Medicago truncatula: one gene and its partners. Each later gene encodes a partner of the first gene's protein in a complex. Links are inferred from orthologs where the notes say so. Each region holds a gene or a part of one and is shown on either strand. Other genes may lie near its edges.

The links.
Region 2: cyanelle 30S ribosomal protein S10 (region 1) and rps8 share a complex: the UniProt entries of both Arabidopsis thaliana proteins name them as parts of the 30S ribosomal subunit. The link is inferred for Medicago truncatula from reciprocal best matches to the Arabidopsis thaliana genes AT3G13120 and rps8.
Region 3: cyanelle 30S ribosomal protein S10 (region 1) and 30S ribosomal protein S31, chloroplastic share a complex: the UniProt entries of both Arabidopsis thaliana proteins name them as parts of the 30S ribosomal subunit. The link is inferred for Medicago truncatula from reciprocal best matches to the Arabidopsis thaliana genes AT3G13120 and PSRP4.
Region 4: cyanelle 30S ribosomal protein S10 (region 1) and 30S ribosomal protein S17, chloroplastic share a complex: the UniProt entries of both Arabidopsis thaliana proteins name them as parts of the 30S ribosomal subunit. The link is inferred for Medicago truncatula from reciprocal best matches to the Arabidopsis thaliana genes AT3G13120 and RPS17.

Annotation. Positions count from the first base shown.
Region 1 is NC_053044.1:26,399,376-26,406,401, forward strand, and holds the start of cyanelle 30S ribosomal protein S10, read right to left. Parts: upstream 3,019-7,026; 5' UTR 2,954-3,018; coding exon 2,759-2,953; intron 1,891-2,758; coding exon 1,831-1,890; intron 463-1,830; coding exon 151-462; 3' UTR 1-150.
Region 2 is NC_003119.8:41,800-46,646, forward strand, and holds rps8 (ribosomal protein S8), read left to right. Parts: upstream 1-3,928; coding exon 3,929-4,333; downstream 4,334-4,847. Other genes in the region: rps19 (ribosomal protein S19), read left to right, coding at 1-58; rps3 (ribosomal protein S3), read left to right, coding at 499-1,143; rpl16 (ribosomal protein L16), read left to right, coding at 1,282-1,290, 2,339-2,749; rpl14 (ribosomal protein L14), read left to right, coding at 2,875-3,243; rpl36 (ribosomal protein L36), read left to right, coding at 4,760-4,847. UniProt on the Arabidopsis thaliana protein: One of the primary rRNA binding proteins, it binds directly to 16S rRNA central domain where it helps coordinate assembly of the platform of the 30S subunit.
Region 3 is NC_053045.1:4,921,328-4,927,551, forward strand, and holds 30S ribosomal protein S31, chloroplastic, read left to right. Parts: upstream 1-4,047; 5' UTR 4,048-4,095; coding exon 4,096-4,267; intron 4,268-4,376; coding exon 4,377-4,441; intron 4,442-5,445; coding exon 5,446-5,580; 3' UTR 5,581-5,708; downstream 5,709-6,224.
Region 4 is NC_053043.1:49,901,258-49,907,323, reverse strand, and holds 30S ribosomal protein S17, chloroplastic, read left to right. Parts: upstream 1-4,759; 5' UTR 4,760-4,798; coding exon 4,799-5,254; 3' UTR 5,255-5,527; downstream 5,528-6,066. UniProt on the Arabidopsis thaliana protein: One of the primary rRNA binding proteins, it binds specifically to the 5'-end of 16S ribosomal RNA. Required for optimal plastid performance in terms of photosynthesis and growth. Required for the translation of plastid mRNAs.

The DNA of each region.
Region 1 (7,026 bases):
CAAAGTTAACAAAAGGATCATTTGGATTGTTCAAAGAAATACATTCAGAGAGAGGAATATATGACATGCTGAGTTTCGACTCATTTGCTTTTAGTAGGAAGTTGAAGTTCACTCATACTCAAGATTCTTATAAACCTGAAGCAAATAAATTTAGAGCTTGACTTCGACATCAACGCCAGCAGGAAGCTGAAGCAGCATGAGAGAATCTATTGTTTGTGCTGTAGGAAAGAGAATATCAATGACACGCTGATGAGTTCTGACCTCGAAATGGAACCGAGCATCCTTGTGTACGTGGGGAGATTTAAGGACACAGTGAATTCGCTTCTTGGTTGGTAAAGGAACAGGACCCATTGTTTTTGCATTGGTGGTTCTCGCTGCATCCAATATCTGCTTGCAGGAATCCTCTATCAAGGGGACCAAGTAAGATCTAAGCTTGATTCTGATTTTGTGCTTTGGTGCCAACTAAAATTGGGAAAAAACAAAATTATCAGGTGATATGATTTTATTAGAGGCCATGGAATATGATAAGTTATAGGTCAAAACAGTAAATTCTACATAAATATCATCAATTAACTCGTCTTCTCCTCCTCACTTTTCAATGGAAATTGGTGGATTGCTATATTTGATTTGTGTAATCTATTGTCAAGAACAATGAAATATTTTCATGTAACATCCTTTTCCCCCTTTTTTATTACCCTCAGGAATCACATAGTGTGATTGCACGAGGCCTGTGTTTCAGGGATTTGGATTTGATGCTGTCAGCACCCACACATTCATGCAGTCAGGGACGTAGGTAACCATTGTATTGAAATCAGACAGTACACTTTAAGCTCAGTCTTTCAGATTTTTTGAAAAATAAAAAAAAAAATGCATTAAAATCTGGACCGTCCAATCTCGATCCAATGCTCACCGATATCCTGGACCTGGACTGTGTGATTGTGTGTGGATTGCTGAATGCACCAAATCCAAATCCATGTTTCAGAAGAATGAATCGGAGTGCTGATAAGGGCAAACCAAATAAGGTGCTTATAGAGTGAGTAAGGACTGTGTGAACCCTCAGAAGAATGAAAACAAAACAATGGAACAGCTAAATAGGGTGTAAATGAAAAGGCCTAAAGGGTAAGTGAAAGAGTTTGGGAAGCTCTTGTTTTAGAATACTGATAACCAAACAGTGAAATAATAAAATAAGGTGCATTAAGTATAACTCCTTCAGTTCCTTTTCATTAACAATGTAAGCTTCTGCTTCAGTTTCTTGGATGAAAAGTGATGGAAAACATAAGCGACCAGAAAAAATAAACAACAAACACTAAATCATGTCATGCATAAAAGTGAACAAAAAATATATCACATTAATTCGGGCATGTGTTGCATGATTCAAAACTACAGCAAAATTATCACATACATGCATCATATGTCATTAATAATACTGAGACCAATGTAACCTTGTTCTGAAACTATGCCATACTTTTGACAAGGGAGCATATGTTTCACTGCTGAGTAACTGGCTAACATCAATAACCTATTACTTGACTTATCAAAAACAATTTACAAATTGAGTGTATATTTTGGATTGGTAGTGAGTTAGGCAAAATCACACTGGCACCGTGATTTTGTTGAAGCTCTAAAGTGTAACTTTTGGCAAAATTGCAATGAGCCACTGTGATTTTGCTAAATTCACCACTAATCCAAAGATGCACTAAAATGTCTCATAATTTCATTGCTATTACATATTAAATGACTGAAAATGGAATTTGAGCACCACATATAAGAAGCCTCCAAAAGCAAACAAATATAAGCCAACTATTGAAAATAGCAAGTCAATCAACGTACCATGTCTGCATTATCCCCAATGCTAATTTCTGACGTGCTCGGAGTCTCTAAGTCATCAACCTAAAAACACCAAGACATAATCATCACAAAGAGACCAACTGAATTGAGTTAAAACATTCAGAAAAATGTAGGCCAATCTAAACCGTAACATTGCTGAAGCCAGTGAAATTCATATTCACTAACCAACACATTAAACTACATATAATTGACATAACATTGCCATAAATAATTTTCACTCCCCCTTTTCACTGTCTCCAAAAACCTTAAATTTTGCAAATTAAACCCCCATTGTTTTTCACATGTTCAACTAATACGTTTTATAAAACTAATTAACCAAGCATTGAGAAAATTCCTAGATACTCATTACCTATTTAACAATAGATTGAAAATGTCAATCAACTAAATTTTCTTCGTGTTCTGAGTAAATGTTTGGTTCCACTTTTACATGAGCTAAAACTGATTCTAAAGGTGTAAAATTGATTTTTACAAGTTTGAAAGTTTTCAATTATAATTGTTGTTACAAGAAAGTTAAATTGATTTTGCCTCCAAAAATAATTATACTAACTAGAACCTAGAATTTTAAGGTTTTACCTCTACAATTGATTTTTAGCCTCAAATTCATCGCATTTATTTGAATCTATCCAAACATAAATCAGATTGCATTCAAATCACTTTTAATTTATGTTTCATTCCACTTTTAAATAAGCCAAAATTGATTCTAGATGAAATTGATTTTGCAAACTAAAAATTGGAGCTTTTAATTCTAGAATTGAATTTTACACTCAAATTTGTTGTTCATAATGCATTCAAGCATATGAATCAAATTATTCATAATCAATTTTCGTTACTACAGAACCAACCAATTAAACAAAATCAATATTCATCACTACAAAACCAAACACAATACAAACATGAAGAAAAGGGTTACCTCAGAATTCAAAACTTCAGGAGCAGCATGAACAACAGTAGACAATTGAAGAGGTTTTGCATTTGTAATCCTCAACGTATTACCAGAAACAAAGCATAGAGATTGAAGCTTTAGCTTTGAAGATAACAATGGTGAAGAATTTGAGGAGAGAGAAAGAGAAGGAATGAATGTTGCTGAGAGAGAAGAAACTGCCATTGAAACAAACTCTCTGAAGCGAAAGAAAGAAAGAAAGATTGTGTTGTGAATAAGAAGATTAAGAATTATCCGTTGTTTTATTTTCCTTTTTCTATTTTATTTTTTTGGTTGTTACTATTTTATTTTGTTTATAGGCTTTGAACCTCAAGGCATTTTGGAAATGCTACCTCCACCCCTCGGTTTAGTACACACACTCCAACAATCTATTTGAAATCAATTTTACGGTGCACAAGTGAGATTAGTGATGGACTTATAAAATTTGTCTAGAAGAAGCAAAACTATATACTAATTATTTGCTTTCACTGAACTATACGTTAACATAGATTATCTGACATTAATATTTGAATAGGTAGAAAAGAAAAACTTATGGAGGCTAGAGTTTCATAAACATAATGAGCAAAGATTGAATGCATAGTCTTACAATTGGAATATATACTAGCTAATATAAAAGTCTAAAATACTCTTACTAATAAATAATAACTATTATCGAACATCTCCCCTCAAACTCACGATGCATTAGTTAGAGCATCAATAGTTTGTCAACTAAAAAAGGAAACATTTTAAGGAGTGCATCTTTGTGAACAAATCAACAATATTCAAAGATGAGGAGGTAAATGATAGAGTGATTGTTCCATGATGAAGATGGTGACGAGTAAGATGACAATCAATCTTAATATGCTTGGTGCGTTCATGGAAGACCGAGTTATGAGCAATTTGAATAACACTATTGTTATCACAATACATTGGAGTTGGTTTAGAAAGAGAGATACCCATATTAGACAAGAGTCAACACATCCAAATAATTTCCTTAGTAGTGGATGACATTTGGCATATCACGATACTCAACTTCTATAGAACAGCGAGAGACAATGTATTATTTCTTACTTTCCCAAGAGATAAGAGAACCTTTAAGAAAGATGCAAAACAATGTAGTGGACTTACAATCTGTAGGATCACTAGCCTAGTCTGCATAATAAGCACATAACTCCAATGAAAGACAATGAGGGAAAGAGAAGACTCTAAAATTGAGATCCTTAGAGATAACGACGAAAACAGAGAACTACTACTCAATAAATTGTAGTGGAAGAGACAACAAATTAATCGACAACATGAATAACATAAGCAATATTAGGTCTAGTAATCGTAAGATACACCAGACTGTCAACCAAAGTACGGTACAAAGTGAGATTTGATAATGGAATACCATCACACTGTGAGTATTTCACATTCAAACATATTATCTCTCTCCTTCTTTTTTTGGGTGTTAACTAAGTATCCTTCGCGCACAACTATAGAGACTAATCTCTCGAACCTTGTGAGACTCAAATGAGCGGCAAACTCACCCTAAAAGTTTAAACTCTGCTACATGCTCAAGACTCTCTCTCTCTCTAATCTTTTAAATTACAATCGTAATTAATTTTTTTTATCTTTTAAATTGCAAATGTTAAACACCTTGATCTCTTAATTTATTTTTATTGTTTTTGGTTTTATTTTGCGTCCTTAATTTGCAATAGTAGACATTTGATCCTTTCATGTCTAATATTTATAAATTAAAGAAACAAAATGTCAATATTTCTAAACTTCTACGACTACAGTTAGAAATACTTTGTATGGTAAAGGAGTAAAAAAAAACATGAGATGAAAACGTTTACCATTTATAACTTAAATAAATAACTAAATGTAACAAGGAGAACAAGAAAACAAACCTATCTAAAAATAGCTCATGAGACTACACCAATCGTGTGAACGTAATTCCAAGGAGAACATCAAAACAAGCCTACCTTAAACCATATATTTAGCACTTCTATTTATTTTATTTTATTTTATTTTTAACTTATAAATAAAAAAAGCATAATGAAAACTAAAGTTCATCTATTTACTATATATATTAAATATTAATCCCTATGATTTTACCATTTTGCTCCAATGAAGGGCATTTTTGTAATTTACTAATTGGTGGGATTTTGTTGGTGCCACCTCATCATTTTTATGGCATATTTCCCATTTTTCCCCATCAATTTTTTTTTTAATTTTTAATAACTTTTAACTATTTTCCAATTTTTATTTTTTTAACTATTTTTCAATTTTTTCACCCAAATTCAGTTGTTTCTACATTGCCGTTGTGAGAGATTAATATATCGTTTGACCCGACTTTTTCCAACTTCTCTACATTTTTAAGGAGAAGTTAGGTCAAACACAGTATCAATTATTTTAATTTCAATATTGTTTAATCATCATAACCTCATTAATATTTTTGTTCACACTGTCATTTAATGATACCAAATATTTTTATTTCCTTTCTTCAACCTCGCAAATATTTACACACACATTAATGTTTAGAGTAATATTTTATGTCCGTCTGTCTGTGTTTTTGTTACGCTGATGCATATAATTTTTTAGTGTTGCTTGGTTGAGTGCTACCTCAATGATGTTTTTTTTAACTATTTTCCAATTTTTTCTCCCAAATTCAGTTGTTTCTACACTGCCATTTGTGGGAGATTAAGATACCGTTTGACCCGGATTTTTTTTTTCCTACTTCTCTACATTTTTCAGGAGAAGTTAGGTCAAACAAAATATCAATTAAGTACTTACTAGAAAGGGAACTTTTTTTAATGCATAAAATTGAATGGAATGAGCTTTGGGCAAAAGTTGTTGAATGCTACTTTAAAAAACTACTTCTGGACAATATATTTCACAAGCACCTCTTTTGAACTCACGCTGGGAACCTTTTCTTTTATTTTTTAATATTATATTTCAATATGTTTTTTTTTCCATTTAACTTTTTTTTTTTTGAACCGTTATATTTAATTTTTTAAGGAGGTTCCATTTAATTTTATTATCTTTTTTCAAAGGAATTGTATTATCATTTTATCACTTATATATTTAATTTCAATATTGTTAATCATTACAACCTCAGTAATATTTTTATTCACGCTGTCATTTAATGATACCAAATATTTTTATTTCCTTTCTTCAACCTCGCGAATATATACACACATATTAACGTTTAAAGTAATATTTTATGTCTGTCTGTCTGTTTTTTGTTACGCTAATACATATAATTTTTTTTAGTATTGCTTGGTTGAGTGCTACCTCACCGATTTTTTTTAACTATTTGTCAATTTTTATATTTTTAAAAAGTTTTGACTATTTTCAAATTTTTTTATTTTTAACTATTTTCTAACTTTTTTTCTCCCAAATTCAGTTGGTTCTACACTGCCGTTGTGGAAGATTAAGATACTGTTTGACCCTGTTTTTTTCAACTTCTCTACGTTTTTAAGGAGAAGTTAGGTCAAATACAATATCAATTAAGAACTTACTAAAAAAAGTAATTTTTTTAATGCATAAAATTGAATGGAATGAGCTTTTGCCAAAAGTTGTTGAATGCTCCTTCAAAAAACTACTTCTCGACAATTTATTTGACAAGCATCTCTCTTCAATTCACGTTGGGAATCTTTTATTTTATTTTCTAATATTATATTTCAATATATTTTTTTCTTCCATTTAATTTTTTTTTAACCGTTCCATTTAATTTTTTTTAAGGAGGTTCTATTTAATTTTATTACCTTTTTTTCAAAGGAATTTTATTATCTTTTTATCACTTATATATTTAATTTAAATATCGTTTAATCATAACAACCTCACAAATATTTTTATTCACGTTATCATTTAATGATACCAAATATTTTTATTTTCTTTCTTCAACCTCGCAAATACACACACACACATATTAGCATTTAGAGTAATATTTTATGTGTGTCTGTTTTTTGTTACGCTAATGCGTATAAATTTTTTGGCAAAATTTTGATTTTAATTAAAAGTAAAATTGTAGATGTATTTTCTTCAAAAAAAGGTACAGATGCCTAAAAAAATTATGCTTATCTTATATATATATTGCACCTTTATATTCTAACAAATTATGCATATCTTTTTCTTATTCAAAAAAACTAAACATTGCTAAATAGAAAATGTATTATTTTCTATTTTGTCAGCATCAGATGATATGATTTTATATAAGTTTAGTAATGACCCGAAATATGTTTTTCCTTATGTAGTGGGAATATAGTTGATGT
Region 2 (4,847 bases), on another chromosome or scaffold:
TTCACCTACTCTAAACTTCCGGGGGTATGCGAAAAATGATAATAGATCGAATCGTTAACATTAATTTTAAGGTAAATTTAGTATACTAATAGTCATTAATAAATAAATATTAATTAATAAACTCATTTCATTTTTTCGTGAAAATATAACCTTAGGAGAAAGAAGAACCAATACATAGAAGTATAAGCCTTTGGTCAAAAAATATTTGTGTCTATTCACAAGACAAAGCGCGAATCGTAATTCATAATATTTCTATTTTTAAAGGGTTATTATAATAGAAATTATGCTTTATGGAGTTGAGCATATTATTCTATTTTTTTTTTTTGAATTGCTTTATTCTGCAGGAGAAAATGCTAGTCACAATATATAGTTCAACGAACTAAGTCAATGAGTCATAAAGATATATAATATTTTTTATATAAAAAAAGTAAAAAAAAAGATATAGATAAAAAAGTAGACAAATAAGACGTATTATTTTATATAGAGTAGTGAGGAATTATGGGACAAAAAATACATCCGCTTGGTTTCAGACTTGGTACAACTCAAAATCATGATTCTATTTGGTTTGCACAACCAAGAAATTATTCCGAGAATCTAAAAGAAGATAAAATAATACGAGATTGTATCAAGAATTATATACAAAAAACCCCCGGTGTCGAGGGAATTGGACGAATAAAGATTAAAAAAACAATCGATCAGATTCAAGTCATAATCTATATGGTACTTCCAACGTTATTAACGGAGGGTAAGCCTCGAAGAATCGAAGAATTACAGACTAATGTACAAAAAAAACTTAATTGTGTGACGCGAAAAATTAACATTACAAGTACAAGAATTCCAAATGCTTATAGCGACCCTAATATTCTTGCAGAATTTATAGCTGGACAATTAAAGAATAGAATTTCGTTTAGGAAAGCAATCAAAAAAGCTATTGAATTAGCTGAACAGGCAGGTACAAAAGGAGTTCAAGTACAAATTGCGGGACGTATCGACGGAAAAGAAATTGCACGTGTCGAATGGATTAGAGAAGGTAGGGTTCCTCTACAAACCATTCGAGCTAAAATTGATTATTGTTCCTATCCAGTTCGAACTATTTATGGGGTATTAGGAATCAAAGTTTGGATATTTCTAAACAACGACTAATTTACTTTTCCTTATTTTTAGCGTTCCATCTTTTGATAAAAGAAAAAATGACGAATTCTTATTCCCAAAAAAGAAATGACAAATTTTATAAGATTGAATAAAAAAATTGATTAATCATTTTATAGTAAAGGAGTTGCTATGCTTAGTGTGTGACTCGTTGGTTTTTTTTAGAGTGGTTAAATTTCTACAAGAATTCGTAGAATTAATTACTAAAGAATTAATAACCTACTCATCGCTTACCATTATCTGGATATAAAGAACCGCGGAAAATAGAAAATCAAAATAAAGATCTATGTGGTGATATAATTATAGCAACTGAAATAAAAAAGAATCTGATTATTAGTTGTAAAGCAATAAGAATATACAGATAAATGAAGGGGTGAAAGAAAGATAGAAAAAAAGATATCAATGATATAGAATTCGACTATGTAAAGGTCTATGGGTCATTTCGTAAAAGGTAGTGTAATAAAGCATCAATATTCTAAATTCATCCATATATGGATGAATATATTCGTAGAATAGACAAATCAAGAGCTGCGAATCAATAAAACTGAGAAGGTTGATTCAACAAAAAAGAATAAAATAAATAAGAAAATTTTATGAAAATAAAATCTTATTAATATTAAAGAGGCTCCATTGTAGAATTTAGACCTAACCATAAATAGAAAAGCGATGGGAACGATGGAACCTGTGAATACCTAAGATTATATTAAATTTCATAATCTTACTGATTCATTAGATGGGATGGCGGACGGAACTAAGAATTCATTATTTTTTGAGGAGTTGTGGACTAACCCAACATTACATCTTAAATTTATAATGAAAGAGTAAATATTCGCCCGCGAAAATGTGGATTTTTTTGAATTTAGAAATTTTTGCCAATATGATAATAAAAAAAAAAAAAGACAAATATGGATTCGTTAGAACCTTATATCAAAACAACATTATCTAGTTAGATATGGATAGCAAAAATGGTCTATAAGAATCCATATTTGGTTCTATATCAAAGCAAGATATACAAATTTCTAATATGTCAAAAAATCCCGCGATTGTATTCTATTTTAAATTTAATATTGTAATTTAAAATTAAATTTTTTTTGGTTAAATATTTTTGAATCGATTTATTCGCGAGGAGCCGTATGAGGTGAAAATCTCATGTACGGTTCTGTAATAGAGATGGAATTGAGAAATAACCATCAACTATAACCCCAAAAGAACCAGATTCCGTAAACAACATCGAGGAAGAATGAAAGGAAAAGCCTATCGAGGTAATACAATTTCCTTCGGAAAATATGCTCTTCAGGCACTTGAGCCCGCTTGGATCACATCTAGACAAATAGAAGCAGGGCGACGGGCAATGTCACGAAATGTTCGCCGAGGTGGGAAAATATGGGTACGCATATTTCCAGACAAACCTGTTACAGTAAGACCTACCGAAACGCGTATGGGTTCGGGAAAAGGATCTCCCGAATATTGGGTAGCTGTCGTTAAACCCGGCAAAATACTTTATGAAATGGGAGGGGTCCCAGAAAATATAGCTAGAAAGGCTATTTCAATAGCGGCATCCAAAATGCCTATACGAACTCAATTCATTCTTTCAGAATAATCATTAGAACGAAATAGGTCTTTAGTATGAAAAAAATGGTAATTGTTGGTTTCTTTTTTTTTTTTTTTGAACACAGAATATTTTTTTTACTTCAACTTTTTGACTGAAAGATAGAAAAAAATGATATGATTCAACCTCAAACCTATTTAAATGTAGCCGATAATAGCGGAGCCCGCGAATTGATGTGTATTCGAATCATAGGAGCTAGTAATCGACGGTATGCTTATATTGGTGACATTGTTGTTGCTGTAATCAAAAAAGCAGTACCAAATTCATCTTTAGAAAGATCTGAAGTGATCAGGGCTGTAATTGTACGTACTTGTAAAGAACTAAAACGTAGTAATGGTATAATAATAAAGTATGATGATAATGCGGCGGTTCTCATTGATAAAGAAGGAAATCCAAAAGGAACTCGAATTTTTTCCGCAATAGCCCGAGAATTGAGACAGTTAAATTTCACTAAAATAGTTTCATTAGCACCCGAGGTATTATAATACGAGATCGTGATATAGATATATTATTTAGGACTGGAATGAATAGGAAGGAAATCTATTTGAATATATATTTGAATAGAAGTGAAATAGAGTCCTAAATATATTAGATCTCACATATATACCTTATATACTTGTGTAATCATTATTCTATAATTATGAATATTTATATTAAGATTATTACATAAATATGAAAAGTATACATATCGATAAGTTATTAGAAATAGTAAGTCATTATATTAATTAATAAATATTTTTAAAACGAAATAATAATAATAGATGAAAAAAAAAAAAGAAAAAGGAATGAAATCTATATATATATTGAATATATATATAGATATAGATAGATTCAAAATACAAATTCGAATTCAGAATTCTATTTGTATTTTTTTTTTATACTTTATACAAAATACAAATAGAATTCTGAATTCGATATAATATTATCTATCTAGTTTATAATTTATAATAGGTCATTCATTCATTTTCTTTCTATCTTTTTTTAGTTTTAGAATATTCTATATTATAGATTTACATTATACTGATTAGACTAATTAGAATTTTCTATCTATATATAGTATTATTATATTCTCATATTCAATATATGATATTTTATTGAATCAAAAAAAAAAAAAAAAACAAAAAACAGGAGCACGTTTATTATATCGAAAGTAAGGAGCAATAATCTATCGTGGGTAAAGATACTATCGCTGATATGCTAACTTTGATACGCAATGCTGACATGAATCGAAAAAGAACGGTTCAAATACCACTTACTAATATCACCGAAAACATTGTGAAAATACTTTTACGAGAGGGTTTTGTTGAAAACGTTAGAAAACATGGAGAAAGCAACAAATACTTTTTAGTTTTAACTCTACGGTATAGAAGAAATAGGAAAGAATCGTATAAAACTTTTTTAAATTTAAAAAGGATCAGTACACCTGGTCTACGAATCTATTCTAACTATCAACAAATTCCGAGAGTTTTAGGAGGAATGGGGATTGTAATTCTTTCTACTTCTAGGGGTATAATGACAGATCGAGAGGCTCGATTAGAAAGAATCGGCGGCGAAGTTTTATGTTATATATGGTAATGGTAAATTTGCCGATATCCGATTTCTATGAAAAAATTATATACATTATTGTAAATGGAGTAGAGAAAAAATGGATTTCTACTATGTACTCCTGATACCTTAGTGAATGTGTGAAGAGGATTTAACTAGAATAGAAATAAAAATTCATGAAGATTAAATTACTGAATAACTTCTGAGGGTATGTTCCATGTTAGAGAAATAGAATTTAAATAAAATTCTAGGCTATGTTTACAAAAAAATTGAACGTACTTAATGTATACGACCGGTAAAGGAGAAAAAGGAAGTATAAGTCACTTAATTTAATTTTTTAACTTTAAACATGTTTTTTAGGAGGCACAATTATAAGTTAAAAATGTAAGGAAAACCTATTTTCTTCGAATATATAGATTTGGCATTCCATTTTAGTTAAGGAGTTAATTTAAAAATATGAAAGTAGGAGCCTCTGTTCGTAAAATTTGTGAAAAATGTCGATTGATACGCAGGCGAGGTCGAATTATAGTAATTTGTTCCAACC
Region 3 (6,224 bases), on another chromosome or scaffold:
GAGGGTAAAATACCCTCTAAACAAGATAGGGTAATCTAGAAAAAAAAACCTTAATTAAATGGTTAAGTCATTCAAGAATAGGAATCTCCCTGAGCCATGGTATGTTGAATGACATAAAGTTGAGTTAATGGGCGGACATTTTTAATTTCTATGAATGTTCGGTTTTTCTTCCCTCGCTAGGCACACAAAACATCGCTTAGCGAATTGAAGCAAAAAATTAACTTTCGAAAAAAAAAATTAGATTCGCTAGGCAAACATGTCCTTGCATACCGAAGTCAAGCTCCATTTTAGAGTCAGAATCCCTCTCTATTAGGTTTGGTTTTAGAATTTCAGAACCCTTACAAATAGAGGTGCAGGTTATCATTTGAAGTCAAGCTTGCCTAGCAAATCAAGGTTTCTTCAAAGGAGGGAAAAGCCAACAGTCTTTAGATATTTTCTTGAACCGCCTTAGTTCACTTAGCGGATCCAATTTTGCCTAGCAAATCATATTTGGCTTTTCCTTTTGGAACTCATTGTTTTGGCTCGCTTTCACCATGTCAAGCTCGCCTAGAGATCGTGTTTTTCACCATATGTCTTTGGGATGCTCTGACTTGGCTTCTGGCGCGTGTGATTGCCTTCTTTTACTCTGTATTGGTGTAGTCATGCTCAAAACCTATAAAAATGTATGGGAAATAGAAGTAATATCTTTGTGGCACAATTTACGAATATAAATGATATTTATATCAAATTTGGGGGTTTTATACTGAATTACTTACAAAACAAGTTGATAAGTGTTATAGAAAATAACAGTAATTTGACACTTATCAAGTGACCTGATGCATGTTGGTGAAATGTACAACGATAATCTAGAGGGGTGAATAGATTACCCAACAAAAACATGGTTTTGAGATTTTCTTTGAAAAACGAAATTGAGTTTGAATATTGGAAATTGACAATCGTTTCAATCATATAAAGTATGTGTTTGGAATACCGGTGGAAAGCTCAAAAAAGCACTTTTAGGCAAAATCTGGAATTTTCAGCTTCATAAAATCACTGTAAAAGTGACATTATGTAGCGTGCACCGTGAAAAAAAATGTGATGCCAAACACTGCTAAAGTATGCAATGACAAATAACAATTCAAATTTTTTTTTTTAATATAAATAACAATTCAAATTTGAACAAGTAATTCACACTTGAATTATATCTATTCAAACAATCACTAATACACAATCAAGATATAAAAGACAATCCAATCTTAAATCAAACCTAATTGGATGAGAACAAAAACTAACACAGGAGACAATAGTATTTGATATATGATGATTAGATTGAAGTGTTCATATCAACAATTCAAAATGATTGAAGTCTCAATTTAGGTTAACAAAATTTGTTCACAAAGGAATTTCAAATTATTCACTCACTTATCAAGTATCAATTTACCTAATCAATAATTATCATATATCAAATAATAGTTTGCGAGAATTAAAAGAGAAGGGAGAAGAAGACATTGATTTACAGACATCTCCTCTATGGGTTTCTACGGCCTTCAATTTCCGAATCCAAGTGATCCTAAATTTTTAAGTTCCCTTGAGCTTTGACTAGTTCTAACATTGCACAACCTTTATGGACCCAAGTAGACTTAATAAAATATTTGACTAACTTGCATTCAGTTGTATTTCTATCTAACAAGTTATTTATTTTTAGGTGTAAATAATAACTAAGAACAATTATAGTATTTTCTAGTACAACTAGGTTATTTTTTTGATAAAAGTTTCACTTTACTCACTTTAGTGGATTGAAATCCTATCCAAAAACTTCTAAAAAAAATTAGATTTTTTTATGAAAAAGAAAAGTAATTCATTTAACTAAAAAAAGAGTACAAAAGACTGGGGGCAAAAACCCGACCCAGTATAACCACACAAAAGTAGGGCTGAGCAATAGACAGTTTCGGTCAAATTCAGGCCCCAAAGTGTCGATAAGAGATCAGAAACAAAACCATTTTTGATCGAATGAGACAACAGGTAATTCGGGTGACGGGTAAGATGGGTGACGGGTATCTTGGGAAGTTTGTTTCAGTTGAGACCATAGAAAATCCTCATTTTCCTTTTCTCAAGTTTCAAACAGCCACACCGGTTGTTAGTAGGTGGTTCACCGACATCATCATGTCGACGCCACTCGAAGAGGATTAAGATTGCATCGGTAGTTTTTCTTCTGTGTGGACAATATATCGTAGCACATGTGCAAAGCCATTGTAAGCATTCGTCACATGGTGGAGGATGTTCGCGACGACCTTGAGTGTAAGAGAGCAAGTAAATTTTGTTGAAATAAGAAATCTTCAAAATAAAGGGTTTACACAAAACCAAACTTGAATGGAAAATTGAAATTCTTTTAGAATTGAAAATGTAATACAGTTTGTTTAACTTTAAAGATAAAAGAAAAGTGGAACAAAATATTGTTTGCGTGTTGAAAGTTTAAAAGAAAAATTAATGTTTGTGTCAAATTATAGTTTCAAGGCAAGACAAGTAATAATCGAAGTCTTGAAAAGTTGAAATCCATAATTGTGTACTCGATTTGCTTTTAAACCCGACTGTTTCCCCCATAAAGCTGACGTTTGGATGGGTTTTAGGCAGGACAAGGGTTTATGCACACCCCCACACAAAAGTGATCGAATCATCCCTGACAAACAAATATACAACACAAAGATGGTATCGAACCTATCCTAAAGGGTAATGAATAGAAAATACGATCTTGAATGGGATAAGAACAATCACCATAACTGATGGTTCAACATAATCCAAACCCGAAGCATCATACACTTGTTGCATAACCCAACATACCTGCAACACAAGTGCAAAACCAAATTGCAAAGAAAAAAAAATTAAATAAACCTGTGACGAATTTTGACAAAGCATCAACAACTTCAAGCCCAAAACACATGACACACATTGTACTCGAATTAAGAAAACAATAACTCAAACGCAGCACATGTGAGCATTAACTCACATAGACATCAATCCGCGCAACATTGGTCAAGGAAAACCAACATGGCGATCACTAAAACAAATGACAATGAACAACAAGCCCATATATGAATTAACATTAGATCCAACGCAAAATTAATTCGTATTGAACAAAGAATCCAGGAACTTAGAAACACAAGAACCAAAGGCGGCTAAAAAGTTGAGCGAACTAGCAACAAACAAAGCCATCGAGATTCGTAGATACGGATGAGAACCCAACTTCATATCGAAGGCACCATTTTAGATTAGGAACCAATCATTAAAGCGCGATAAAGAAAGAACCCAACATATGTCGTGACGGTGGAGGGCGATTGCACCACCAGTCAAAGGATCTACATTTCAACAAAAAAGTTTTGGATTGTAAGGAAAAAGTGAAAAAGACTAAGTGTGCTGCGGTAAAGAGTTTGAAGAAGAAAAAGAAGAGAAATCTTCTCTCTTTGTAGAATTTTCCCAAATATGTTTCAAGCTCAAAAGAAAAGTAATATTAAAATATCTCAATTAAACAAATTAATTTTTGGTTAAAAAATTAATATTTCTTTTAAAAAAATATATATTTTGAAGAGAAAAAAAAAAGTTTTAATTGCACTTTCGGTCTCTTATCTTTTCAAAAGTTGTGATTTTAGCCCCCTAACTAATAAAAATACAAAATAGTCCCCTATGTATTGGATCTTTGGTAGTTTTGGCCCCTAAGATCACTTTTGACTTAGTCTTCGCTGACGTGGCATCCACATCCCTTAAGTGAGGTGCCACGTGTCGACCATTGTGGATGTCACGTCAGCGAAGACTAAGTCAAAAGTGGTCTTGGGGGCCAAAACTGCCAAAAATTCAATACATAGGGGGCTGTTTTGTATTTTTATTAGTTAGGGGGCTAAAATCGCAAGTTTTGGAAATATAAGAGGGCAAAAGTGCAATTAAGAAAAAAAAAGACAAGTATTTGAAATTTCATGAAAAATGGACAATATTTAAAATTGACCATTGATGTAATTTACTAATTAGATGTTCATTCTAAACCATTGGATCTAAAAAATCGCAGCACATATATTCCTCAATCAAACCAACCTTATCAAAGTGCCTTCGTTATCTATCCTCTCAGTTATGGCCATGGCATCATCACTGCTTCTAGCATCACCTTCTCCACTCTCTCTTCAACTCCACGCTTCCTCTTCTCACCTTTCCTTCTCTCAATCCCAATCTCTTCACTCACCACTCATCACTTCATCATTCCCTACCCTCTCTTCAACCTTGTCTCTTTCACCAACCCCTTCTGGTAACTTTTTTCTCCAAAAAAAATGGAAATTTTGTTGTGAATTTGGCTTATTGTATTTGAATTTTGATGACCCAGTTATTGATTTTGGTTCTTTTTTGTTTTCTTGTAGTGTATTGTGGCAGAGGTGATAGGAAAACTGCCAAGGGCAAACGGTTCAGCCATTCGTTTGGAAATGTAATGTTCTTTTTTCCCAATTCCCCCACTTATTTCAATTATTGAGTGTATGTTTGGTTCCAACATGAATTAGTTTTGTTAGAATTGATTTTAGTTAAAAGTGACTTTATCATAAATTTATCATGTTTTACACATACATTGCTGTAAAAGTGATTTATTTTTTTTAAGAATCAAGTGTAGTATCTTATCTTATTTTGAATTAACAAGTGATTCTTAATTCATAGTATTATTTTGGATAGTTTGACTGATTGAATTAAGTGTAGTGTCGTATCAGTTTAATATTTGATATGTGAGCCAATGACGCATGATGTTAAATTTATTTCTTGTTGACGCATGATGTTAAATTTATCATGTTTTACACATACATTGCTGTAAAAGTGATTTTTTTTTTTTAAGAATCAAGTGTAGTATCTTATCTTATTTTGACTTAACAAGTGATTCTTAATTCATAGTATTATTTTGGATAGTTTGACTGATTGAATTAAGTGTAGTGTCGTATCAGTTTAATATTTGATATGTGAGCCAATGAAGCATGATGTTAAATTTATTTCTTGATGGGGAGATTCCACCGATACTTGCCTCTCGCGCGTTGCTTTGAGTGGCACTATACCATTTCTTTGACGCACCCCAACTAAGAAAAGAAATTGTTTGAATCAAAATTGTTTTTGGATGTGATTCATATTAACATTAAAGTAATTCTTCCCTTTTTGTTTTGCTAAATTATTAGTGTTGAATGTGTTTTCAGTCTTTATAATTTATATTTTTTGTTTTTAGTCATTGAACCGATTTTTTTGTCCTAAAAAAGGGACTAAAAACATACATTTTAGTAATTTGTAGGATTGAAAGGTTAATACTGATCCTAAAAACAAAATTCGAAATTATTAAAGCACTGAAAACATATTCAATCTTTATTATTTGTCGTGGATATTTGTTGAAATTGTAGTGGATGTTGTGGTGAATACTTCCAAGGTTATTTTGAAAAATATGTTATTTGATGTTATCAGGCAAGGCCGAGGAACAAGAACAAGGGTACAGGACCACCAAGGATTTATGCTCCACCAGATGCTACCAAGAAAGAGAAGCTTGAAGATAAGGAAGTGATTGAGATTGAAATTAATGAATCCCTTTTTCCTAGTTAGTTGATTTTAGTGTTGCACTGTAATTTTGAGAGTTTCATGATTTATAGTTTTTGACATATGGATTCCATTTGGCATATACTATTTGGATTTTGCTTGTTATCCTTATTTGAGTTCACTTTGCAACCTTATTTTAGTCTCTATTATGTAAGCTCTTGCTATATCGTATTGAGGGTGGGATTGGAAACACTCTTATAGTCGAGGTTTAAAATCCTGGTCACAGTTTGCGAAAAAGTTGTAGGCAAATACTGCCAATTCGGTCATAATTTTTGTCGCGATGTGGTTGGGAAGACATCAAAAACCTCGATGTCGTGGATTTTTCTCCTTAGGATCTGTGCTGTTGTAGATGTCTAACAACCAAACAAAAGTTTCCTATGGGAAAAAATGGTTAGGAACGTTGGTAGAGTGATAGAATCCAAAAATGTTGGAAAGGTCATGTTTGTTGAATTAAACCTTTGCTTCTGCAACGTGTATGCTGTTGTTACACAGTCACTCTTATGCGCTCAATTTCGGGCATATGTTGCATGGTTTTTCATTATTTGCATTATACTTTTATGGTGTTGTTTGATTCATGTTGTCAACCCAAGACTTTGGTTGTTACTGTCTTCTTAGAATACTTTTAGACATGTTAGAGTTAAACAACTTAG
Region 4 (6,066 bases), on another chromosome or scaffold:
AGGCTTTTGACTCAATTACTCACGCCACATCAAATCAAATAAACTTGTTATTTCCTTGTAGATAAATAATATTCCCTCCATCTCAAAATAATTGAGTTATTTGAGAAGAAAAAAATTGTTCCAAATACACTCTAATTAATAATAAGCAATTCAACATATTATATTTTATATTTATGATAATGATGAATGCATTAGCACTTAATAAAGATATTCAACCATTTTTTCTTTTCTCTTTTTCACCACTACATTTTCTCTTAATATATGTGAAATAAACAAAAGACTTCGTTATTTTGAGACAGAAAGAGTATAATGTAAACAAAAAAAAAATCTTTCCACTCGCTAATTTCTGGTCATATTTTTACTCTTTATCTTTTGTATATAAAGATTATGATTATTATGTATGTATGTATAAATTATAATTTTAATAATTGATAAAGTTAAAATTTCGCACCCCCTAACTCGGGTCTTGGATACGCCACTGACCATTAGGCACTCACACATAAAAATACATTTTATTTAATTATTTAAAAAATAAATATGATCTAATTATTTTCTCTCTATCTTTTCTCAATTATGTATGTGTGCCTAAATTTAGTATGCCTAGACAAGTATTTTCCATGGATCTATGAGATTTAACAAAAGTCTTCAAACATGAGAATAACTTAAAAGGTTTTTGGGATGAAGTGGGTAATAGGGTCCGATCAATTTTACCAATATAGAATAGAAATCGTGAGAACAATGGACTATGTTGCGACATAAATTATTTTGTCCCAAATAAATGATTTTGCGACATAAAATATTTTTGACCCAAAATTCCATCCTAATTTTAAGTTTTTCTTCAAGTGGGTATATTTTGTGGGACAAGAGATTCAACTGTCATTCCAATCTGTAGTGTATTAAGTGCATCTCATGGGATGGGTTGGACTAGCTATCGTTGGATGATTAACTAGTATATACATATTGTGTCATCTCATTTCTCTTACTCTCTTTTATTCAAAAACTTACTAAGCAGTGCTTCTTTGTGATTTAACTTCACCTTTTTATCTAAGCATTGCACATGGAGTTAAATGATTTGAATAAGAACTAACGTGGTTGTTAAAATTAATTTGAAAAACGACTATGGTTTAACTAAACACATGTCTTTGCGAAAAGATTTTAAAATGATTAACATAATTCAAATCCCCTTTTGTCGTGTTTTTCCAACATATTCAAGTGGTATCAGTGCCCATTGTTGGAAAATATAAGTAAAATGGTTTGACTTGTTTTGTGTTTCAGATTCAATATCCACTTCTTTTTAAATTTTGAAAATTGAAGCTCCTGTTCAACAATTTACTTTTTATTTTAAAACCATGGATTGACAAAAAAAAAATCATGAAAATCTTGTCTTTTAAAAACAATTCCCACTTAGTTTTTTTATGGATTTTGTTAACGAGTGTCTTGGGGAGATCCCAAATTTTAAAAATATTCTTTAAAAAAAATCAAATGTTACAAATTCTAATGCATTAATTATATAGATTTTTATAAAAACTTATTATTAAAGGTGTTTAAAAAGTATTCCGATGACACTCGTTAACATTTTTTTTTTAGATAAATGATATTTGTACATCCATTTTATGACAACTTTTGTACAACCTTCTCTCATAATCACATTATCTTCTTATTCTCTCTCTTCCCTTTTTTTTTTTTTCTCTCTCTCTCTATTGTTTTTGACCAATAAAAAGAGAGAAAAGGTAGGTTGTCACAAAAGTTGTCACTAAAAGGTTGTTCAAATATCATTACTCTTTTTTTTATATACTCTCGGAGAAGAATAAAAATGAAAAAAACCTCAACCTATGTTTTGCGAATAGAATGAGAAGTTCTCATTCAAATTTGAATCTTACAATACTAACTTATGATGTATAGAGAAGTGAATCTTACAATACTAACTTATGATGTATAAAGAAGTACGTCAACATATGATTTTGTTAACAGAGATAGAAAGTCAGTTCAATTTCAATGATCTATGGTGATCACATTTGAAGGTGGGTAAAGAACACAAGAGAGGGGAGATTGAATCGTGTTGCCGATTTTTTTTCTTTTTAATTTAACCATTTCTATTAAGTCGACTTGTTTACTAAAAGTTGAACACAATAATTCTTTTATCTATTAAAATACTTTATTTTAAAACTAAAGAGACAATGTGAAGTTAAACTATAAAGAACTCGACATATGCATTGAGAGAGAGGATACACCAAATTCATCCTTGTTCACTGTCAATCTGATAGCTAGTCCACCTTATCCATAGTGATTTTGTCATCTCAACAAGAGAGACTTCTTTAACTATAATCTCCTCAAGAGTTATCCACCCCAATATTTCACGAAGCATCAATCTTGTCAAAATCCATCACCCCTATCATTTACCATGTTACCAACCATGATAACCACATCATTTATCCGGTTTTCCAACCACGTTGATCATATCACTTACCCGGTTGCATAACCATATGAGTTACCAACAATGGTTATGACTTAGTTAAGTCTATCCGTCATCTCACACCAAGTGAGGTCTGGTCTTTAAGGTCTGTGCAGTATAGTAAAATGGGTGCAAAGTAAAGTGGGGTTTGAGTTCGTATATGACTAATACAAAATCATTCTAGGATGATAACTATCTAAGAGAGGATATTACATAAAAATCATGTCTCAATTCAAGAGTACTTCTATCTTCTTGATTGATTTACAAATGATCTAGACAATTCTCACTCGAGAGGACGTTTCACAAAGTTCCTAAATCATGTTATTGGCTTTAACTAGATTTATTTTTTAAATAATAATATAAGCTTTTTTCTTTTAGGTGGGGTGTTTTGAACACTAATTGTTGATCTTCACATAAAATGATATGGTGATTGAAACATAAGTGATGATAGCAACAACAACAACTCTCTCGACGCGAGTAGGTTTTGTTTATATAAGTTCTAGAATCCTATTGTTGGAGAATACAACAAGGGTGAAGTTTAATATGGAAAAGGGAAGTTCTTTCCTATCATGGGAAAGTTTAACCACAACCATTGATTTAATAGTTTTTTATTTGGGTGGCTTAGATCTATGACTTGGTAATTGTTGTAACTTTTTGATGGTTACATGGTGGACCAAAAAAAACGACCCACCATTGATGAAATAACAATTTATCATTTGTTTTATTGATTTATTGTTTTTTTTAATTAATTTTTTTCACCATTCTTCCTCTTCTTCCACCCTCCTCTTTTCTACCTTCATCATCATCTTCATACATTAATCAACATCAAACTCAGAAAGAGAAGGAAAAAAAAAAACAGTAAGAAATTAAAACTCAAAAAATAACAATCAAAATCATAGATCTACTCTTCATCATTCTTCACCATCATCACTAAATATCCTATATCCACTCTTCATCATCAAGATCCATGGTTCCTCAATGATAACAACAACAACCTAAAATCATCATCTTCATTTTCATTTTTATTCATTCATTTTTTAAGAATTTGTATTTCCAGATTTTGAAATTCAATAAAAGTATCATCCCCTTATTACCGTAACTTAACCCTTTTTTTTATTTTTAAACAAACGTATCATTAACAAACACTCACTGCACAAGCTATGCATAATAGGAGAGAAGAAACATTACAAGTGCCAATAACAGTCCCTAATTATAGCAATATCAAATGGGAGAAGAAACCTAAGAACAGTAGCACGAGACCCTAAAGTCATGGTACCGCAAAAACCAAATAACAACAACAACACCAAGCCTCTACTGTCCCGGAATTATAAGGAAACATGATGAATGTTGAATGAAATGAGTTTAAACATTATTATTGAGTGAGGTAATTTGTGTTATGAAATTCATCTGTGTTATACATTAGCAAATGTACCAGAAAAAACAAAAAAGGATTAAAAAACTAATTTAATTTTCATTTTTTTTTATATTTTTGAACAGGTTTGAGACAGCCACCTGTACTGGGAAATGAACCTTTCCCATGGTGGGAAAGAAGTATCCATTCCCAGGTTAAATGCCACCTACAACAAAATATACAACCGTTGTGAGGATACATATGATAAAGTACAAGTATCTCTTGTATATCTTTGTATACAAAGTGACTAATCTGTCTCATCGAAGAGATTTGAGAGAATCACTTCTTTATACTTTTAGGATTTTACCTAGATAATTATCTTGATATTTGAACGTATCAATCATCCATACATCATTATAGATTCGATTTGTTATCTTTTGTACTTTGTTTCTTCATATTTTTAAGGCTAAAATATGGTTTTAGTTCCTGCAAATATGCTTCGTTTTGGTTTTAGTCCCTGGTAAAAAAAAAATTTGTTTTTGGTCCCTGCAAAATTTTTTGTTTTTGAAAATAGTCCCTGACCCCACTTTTGTGATGATTTGCATACGTGGCATATTATCACTGAACCAATTTTGTAGTTTTTGGTCTCTGCAAAATATTTTGTTTTTAAAAAAGGTCCTTGCAAGGGACTATTTTCAAAAACAAAACATTTTGCAGGGACCAAAAACAAATTTTTTTTTTACCAAGGACTAAAACCAAAACGAGGCATATTTGCAGGGACTAAAACCATATTTTAGCCTATTTTTAATGAATCAGTTATATGATTTATTAAATCAACTTCTTATTTTAATAGTTATTGAAGGGTAAAATTGGCCAATAAAAGTTTAATACAAGTAAGGCATAAAATAAAAGAAATAAAGAGAATGAATCACTATAAAAGATTTAGTTTTATCTTCTTCTTATCTCTTCACAACACAACACAACACAACACAACAATGTGGCTTCTGCAACTTCCCAGCACGCTCTCAACACCATTCCTCAACGGCAACAATGGCGTCGCCCTCACCCGTCTCTCAAAGCCCACATCCACACTCTCTCTATCCCAACCCCAATCCCTTCCATCAATCAAAGCTATGAAAACAATGGAAGGAAAAGTTGTGTGCGCTACCAACGACAAAACAGTGTCGGTGGAAGTTACTCGTTTAGCACCTCATCCCAAATACAAGAAACGTATTAGGATGAAGAAGAAGTATCAGGCTCATGATCCTGAAAACGTTTTCAAAGTTGGTGATGTTGTTCAGCTTTGTAAAATTAGACCTATTAGTAAGAATAAGACTTTTCTTGCTGTTCCTGTTCCTGCTAGGAATTCTGGTAAGGCTAATAATTCTTCCGGTGACCTCGACATTCCGCTTCAATCGGAGCAAGAAGAACAGCCTCAGACTCAGGCTTAGTTTTGCAGTCTCTCTCACTCTTTAATTTGTTGTGTTTTTATTTTTTGTACTAATATGATGAAATTGGAATTGAGAAATTGATGTTGTTATTGTTGTTGCTGTTAATTTGTTATTGTTATTATGAAAAATTATTATTTGATTAATGTTGCTTTGTGGGTGTTTGTTGAAATGTTGGATGTGGTTTATGATAAACCCTCAATTGTGAAATTGCTATGGTTGTGTAATTATGTTGAGAATTTTATTGTTTAGTGTAATGGATATGTGTTTGATGAAGGGCTCGTTTGGGTTGATTTATTTTTGAGCATATGCAAGCAAAACAGTTTATACAAATAAATAAACTTTTATGTATTATTCATAAACTTGTTTAGGTAGCTTATGAAAAAACAACTTATGAAGATACAATTTTAATAAAGCTTATTTGCATAAACTATTTTTCATAAGCTAAAAAATAAGTCAATCCAAATGGGCTTAATAGATTTTTAATAGTATGAAGCGCGACACACAAACACGGACACCAGACGCAACACTGACACATTGACACAATTCAATGTAATCACATGTGTTGGGGTTGTGTCGGACACATCATACGCCTGCGATCATAAGTGCCGGCGGGAGCAGGAGTATCCTCCTCCAAAGAGGAGTGCTCTTGAATTGTCCATTCTACATCACATGTCAGGATATAGATACTCTGATTGCAGAGAGCCCGAATTCTTAGCTGTAGGTTGGGTGTTGATCGTGTGTTTGGGTGAGTGTTTAACAAATGTGATTTTGAATTATCTTAGAGTTTGTAATTAATCTGACCAAAATTGGCT